Daphnia pulex: one gene and its partner. Each later gene encodes a partner of the first gene's protein in a complex. Links are inferred from orthologs where the notes say so. Each region holds a gene or a part of one and is shown on either strand. Other genes may lie near its edges.

What was found. The genes of interacting proteins can lie anywhere in the genome.
Region 2: the proteins of NADH dehydrogenase [ubiquinone] 1 alpha subcomplex subunit 8-like (region 1) and NADH dehydrogenase [ubiquinone] 1 alpha subcomplex subunit 13-like are in contact, whole or in part, in a cryo-EM structure (PDB 8ESZ), measured with the Drosophila melanogaster proteins. The link is inferred for Daphnia pulex from reciprocal best matches to the Drosophila melanogaster genes ND-19 and ND-B16.6. Residues at the interface, in NP_001163296.1 of Drosophila melanogaster: Val2, Ile3, Thr4, Asn5, Asn6, Thr7, Thr8, Leu9, Pro10, Glu11, Glu12, Leu15, Asn16, Val17, Gln18, Glu19, Leu20, Leu27, Arg28, Ala31, Phe32, Leu34, Gly35, Asn42, Phe45, Met46, Arg49, Asp54, Pro55, Arg56; in NP_001284943.1 of Drosophila melanogaster: Arg63, Asp64, Ile66, Glu67, Met68, Ser70, Ala71, Asn73, Val74, Ile75, Phe76, Pro77, Ile78, Val80, Ala81, Glu82, Arg83, Asp84, Arg85, Phe87, Leu88, Arg89, Leu91, Arg92, Arg93, Arg95, Val110, Gly111, Val118, Glu124.

The regions. Positions count from the first base shown.
Region 1 is NC_060020.1:9,014,402-9,017,317, forward strand, and holds NADH dehydrogenase [ubiquinone] 1 alpha subcomplex subunit 8-like, read left to right. Parts: upstream 1-1,412; 5' UTR 1,413-1,571; coding exon 1,572-1,700; intron 1,701-1,861; coding exon 1,862-2,037; intron 2,038-2,131; coding exon 2,132-2,342; 3' UTR 2,343-2,416; downstream 2,417-2,916. Other genes in the region: WD repeat-containing protein 7-like, read left to right, coding at 84-188, 281-475.
Region 2 is NC_060018.1:5,771,347-5,774,157, forward strand, and holds NADH dehydrogenase [ubiquinone] 1 alpha subcomplex subunit 13-like, read left to right. Parts: upstream 1-1,453; 5' UTR 1,454-1,522; coding exon 1,523-1,613; intron 1,614-1,746; coding exon 1,747-1,900; intron 1,901-1,981; coding exon 1,982-2,051; intron 2,052-2,116; coding exon 2,117-2,257; 3' UTR 2,258-2,311; downstream 2,312-2,811. Other genes in the region: paramyosin-like, read right to left, coding at 374-660, 739-945, 1,009-1,125.

The DNA.
Region 1 (2,916 bases):
CGTTCGAGATTTGGAGTCTGTCAAAATAGTCTTGTCGTTAAACTCAAATAATGAATCAATTGTAATCGCTTGTCTACATACAGTACATTCAGGCACACAATGCCGAGATAACGGCTTGCGCCTTTTCGCCTGACGGGAAAAATTTAGCGTCGTACTCTAGCACAGAGAACAGGCTGTCGTTTTGGCAGGTAAGAAACACGTGTTTCAAATAGACCCGTCTCTGCACCAGCAACATTTTCAATGATTCGACATGTTTAATTGTTTGTTCCCGTTTGTGTAGCAATCGGCGACGGGTGTGTTTGGATTGGGAGCGGTTCAGACACGCTGTGTTAAAACATACACCACTGATCCCGTGCCGCAGTGTGTAAGACCTGGAAGTACGATACCGTTGAGAATGGCTCGTCTTCAGTGGCACAGTGGCAAAACAGTTGCTATCATGCTTTCTGATGGCTCCGAAACGCGTTACCATCTCTGACGAGTGATGATGAGAAGTCAGAACTTACTTTTTAAAATGAAGAAGTCGAATTCCAACCATAAATCAATGAAATAGTCGTCGCTTCTATTGCGAGCTCGATGTTAGTTCTAAACAGTTTCTATGTCTGGATGTCTTCATATGTAATAAACTCTAATCAAAACACTTGCCATTTCCGGCCATTTATTTTTAAATTATATTTTATGACTTTAAAATGTATTTTCTATTTAATCAGTTATCTTGTTTGTATTATTCTGGAAGGAAAAATGTGGTCGTCGGAGGAGAGTTTCCCATCGTGCTAGCCAATCGTGTAGGAAAATTAATGAAAACGTATCAAACCAACCAGCAAAGCATTTTATACTTGCAAGTACTATTCTCCGAGTCAGTTCCTGTACTTTTTTTCATCACAGCCGCGTTTTGTTCTAAGGGTTGACAGAGACGATAGGCGATTCCCACACAGCCGAAACATTCGAAAAAAAAAGTAGATGAGTGTCAACACTCATAATTCATAAATAGCACGGAAAAGTCCCGGAGTTGCGCTGGTTTTTTTCGTATTACCTTTTATGTGGCATTTTCTGGTAAAATGAATAAACAGTATCGTTTTCCGCCTGCTATCCTTCTCCGCTGACATCCCCACGCGGCCACGCCCAATGTGCTCAAATTGGCTGACGCGACCCTGTAGGAATTCTCCATGTCCATAAGGCTTCGTCAGAGGTTTTCCATCAACCGTCTGCTTGTCGAACAAAGGATTGGGTCTACATAGGGTGTCAAGCGTAATAACAATTTTCGTTCTGCTATCGGCCGCCGTGGTGCGCATCGGCGTAAACTGCGCACGACTTTTTTTGCTCGACTACTACTTTTTCCTTGGAATAACATCTATAGCTCTGCTTTTAGTCTTTTGGTGCGGAGCAGGTAAAAATAAAATAGACTTTTATACCCTTCTACGGACAGATGGCGTTGCGATGAACAGCTGAGAGCAACAGCTGACGAGTTGAGACTCTTGACTTGTAGAGAATAAACGATTTATTCAACTGTAAATTTAAATATTTTACTTTCCCTCTGCGTCTTAATTGTGAGACAAATATTTCACGCTACAGTAATGGTTTTAACTAAAGAAATAACCATTCCGAGTGAAGAAGAATTAACAGTTCAAGAAGTAGAAATTAGTACCCCAGGACTGAGGGCTGCATCTTTTCATATGGGCAAAGCATGTGAAAATGTTAACAATGTATGTATAATTTGATATCAACTTCTAAGCACAACAGTTTATCATGGTTTTAATCTTTTATCATGCATGAAAATCATGTATTTTTATTTATTTTCTGAAATATGAAGCCAACTAACTTTTCATATGAGAAATTGTAAGATTGTTTGTTCTTTTATGAATAGGAATTTATGCTTTGCCGTCAAGAATGTCAGGATCCTCGTAAATGTCTGAATGAAGGAAAAGCTGTTACTGCCTGTTCCCTTGATTTTTTTCGCAAGATTAAAAAGAATTGTGCAGTTGAGTTCACACAATTTGCAAATTGTTTGGATCGCTCAAGTCCTGATTTCAGCTTTAAACCGTAAGCTATAAGTTATTGGCATTTTCAATCAGAACTTTTATTTAATCTTGTTTTGTTTCTTATCCTGAATATTTCTTGCTTCTGTAATTATTAGGTGTAGAAAAACACAAGCAGTCTTTGACAAGTGTATGCTTGATAACTTGAAAATCGAACGTCCGTATTTTGGTTACTTTTCTGAAGTAAAAGTTCATCACACAGAGAGACCAAGACCTGAAGTGAAAAAGCAAGAATATCCGGACGCGCCACTACCAGTCCCTGATGATTTACCCTTGCAACCAGCTAAGTTTGGCAAGCGTTCACTCTAATAGAATATACCCCAATACAAAGATATGTATTGAAAAGTAGGAAGACTTGTAATACATGAATGTAATGAAGACAAGATTCAATTTTACTATGTTCCATGTCAAAGAAATGTTGTTGAGTTGACATTGATCATACTCAACGAAACACTTTGTATTTGGCAGGTAGTGGAAAATCCGGAATTCGGAAACAGATTAGCAGAACGTTTTGGGTATCGTGGGGCGTCCCTAAACTGCGAAAGCGAAACGCTTAAAATGCGGAACAGCTGTACGAAACGGACCAAAATTTTGGCCCCGTTCCGCGGGACCTAATGCCGATGGGCATACTAAAGAGCGAAACGTATTTTGAAACTAAAATTTTTCACCCTCAGGGTCCAAATTGACGGAGTATATAAGGCCGCCATGTATTTCATGAATCCAGCTATGGTATTGTGTCTGTGTTTCGAAATTCATTTCGCTAGTAGACCCTAAGGGTGTAGACATACTTTATTTCAGCTCAAAGACAAAAAACAAAACAGAGGTGTTGTAAGCTACCCTTTCCTCCAGCCTGTACACGCCCCCATTATTCAGATTTATTTTA
Region 2 (2,811 bases), on another chromosome or scaffold:
AGATTTTCCTACTAAAAACAAAAAAGAAAGAACATCTTTATCTATATATGAACATTAAAATATCGATGAAATTGTGTAAATGGAAATTAATCGTGGTGTAAAAATACGAAAAACGTCAAGAAAGGATTTAAAATCGAATCGAACCTTCTTACGCCACCTAGCCTTCTGTTTCTGAATCAATTGAAGGAGAAGAGTTTGAATGTAATTTTCATTAACTAAAATCTTTCATTTGTGTTAAAAAACGCTATCACGATTACTTCACGTTACCACGTTGACTACTTCAGAAAATTCTTAACCCTTTGATAATTTCTTTACATCATAAAAAAGTTCAAAAACATACATAAAAATAAGTAATAGAAAACGAGATCCATACCTACTGATGTCTTCAGATGTTTTTGATTTATTTTGTCCATTCCAACAAGTATGTTCTGTCCATTGTTGGTTCAACACTTGGATCTGTTGTTGAGCTCCAGCTAAATCTTGCAAAACTTTTTTTCTTTGAATTTCACAACTTTCATGACTAACAGAAAATTTTGCATTGGATATTGTGTCAATCAGTGAAAATAGCCTTTGTGTCACAACATTTGCTTGGCCCATTCTACTAGACTCTTCATTTGAAATCATCACCTTTGTTTCACTTATGATTCCAGGTACTTGTTTCTGTTAAGTATTGTAAAACCAAACTGTCATTTAAATTTTAAAACAAAAAATTATTAACTGTAAATATATCAGCAGTACCCTGTAAAATGACACTTCTTTTTCCAAAGCTTTGATGTAGATTATCTGCTTCTGAATCATTCCAGTTAAAATGTAATCTGAACTATTTCCTTCAATCAAAAGTCCACTTTTTTGAGGTACTGGGCTCTTGAAGAGAGCTTTACGAGCAGAAAGTGATTTTGTCTCTGAATTTTCTGATGAAGAAAGATCACGTCTTATTTCTGATGCCTGTACACAAAGAACAGGAACCAATTCAGTTTTGATTATACCATTAGAAATAGTTAATACAACCTTCAATCCACTTCTATAAATTTGTTGATCTGAACTATCACTTTCAGACAAAAATTGTTTAAGTTGATGAACCGCTTTGTAGTATTCATCTGGACTATCACTCTTCCGGAAATCCATTTTTGAAGTTTTTGTCACTTAAGAATTAAGACAAGTATCAAAAGTAGTAGTTACGTAAACTGAAAAATATCACCAGCAGTGAATATGTTTGTTTTGATTTGAATCATCTTTTGCAATTCCATTTTCACGTCGCTATGACAACGACAACTGCACTTTGCTGCAGTTGCCATACATTTATATTAATTCAATAAACTCACAGAAACTAAAAAAAAGGTATCAAAATAACATCCCTTATTCCTTTGAAGTTTGAACAGTAAGAAAATATTTTTATCTTCAGCATTAATATTTTAATTACCTTCTCAGAAAATTTGTGATTATTGCCATCTTCCGCCAGATGGTGATTGTATAGCTGATTCAGGTGTTTACAACAGACAACAGTATCCAGCTGTTAGCAAAGATGGATGCCACCATCAAGCAAGATTTGCCACCTCCTGGAGGATATGAAAAAATTCAGTATGCTCGTAATCCAGCAAAAACATTCTTTAGAGGTATGTCTCGATTACATTTTCGTGGAATAGTTTTGATTTATTTACCTTCAATGTATGTGGTTTTTTATGTTCAAATAGTACAGACCTTACATCTTAATTTGCTAATTACAATATTTTTACAATGTGTATACAGGAGGAAGGTTGCTTGCTGGATTTATAATTCTCAATGGCTGCACCACCTACTATTACTTTAACCATCTTTATCCTGGAATTCTCCATCGGAGGGTTGAAAAAAAAGGTTCTCACTTAGCAACCTTGCCTTTGCTGTTGGCTGAACAGGATAGAGCGTAAGCATTAATTTAAACTATAAATTTCATCAGTATACAACAATCTAATTCTTAGAAGTAATTTCCTTAAATTTTTTGTAGATTCTTAAAGCACTGCAGAGCTTTGCGAGATGAAGAGGAGAAACTAATGGCCAATGTCCCTGGCTGGGAGGTATGCATATATCCTGTATTTTTGTAATTTTTCTATATTAAAAAAATGGTCATCATTTCATTCAGGTTGGCAAGTGGAATGGTCAACCAATTTTTAAAACACTTGATAAGGATGTTTTTTCTAATCCAATCCTTAGTGAGTACTATTGCCATGCCCCTTATATGGATTTCTACAAGAAAGCTATGGAAGAGGCAATCCAAGTTTAGTTTTCATTCCTGATGTAAATGTGAAAACAGGAAAATCTAGTAATGAGTATTGAATGGTACTGTGCGATCTTTGAGTTTTGGAGATGTTCTCTTTTAGTCTCATAAATTATAATTATGATATGCTTGAAGGTTAAACATTGACATCTAGTCAATTAAATTAATTAGGTGAAACATATTTAAAAAGGAGTTTAAAAAAACAAGTTTTATCATCTGTGGAGAAAATATCAAGAATTTGGCCAAGAGGCATGATATAGTCGGATGAAGCAAAGACGTTGTAAGCTTTACGTTGTCTGCATTTTTTTTAAAGCTAACCTCCACCAATAGACGTGAGGCATCATTAATTAGACTTTCGTGTTTTATACGAACATTTATTACTTAACATAGGTAGTGGGGAATGTTTTTAATGTACCGTCTGATTTTATTTGTTTCTATAGAAGAACAGCACCAGCCGAATATCAGAGAATTGTAGGTTGAATAGCAAATTTAAAGGTCTAGTTAGAATGACATTTTCATTGCCCAATATAGGATACTCCAATTCCGCAGAGAGCTGTGTG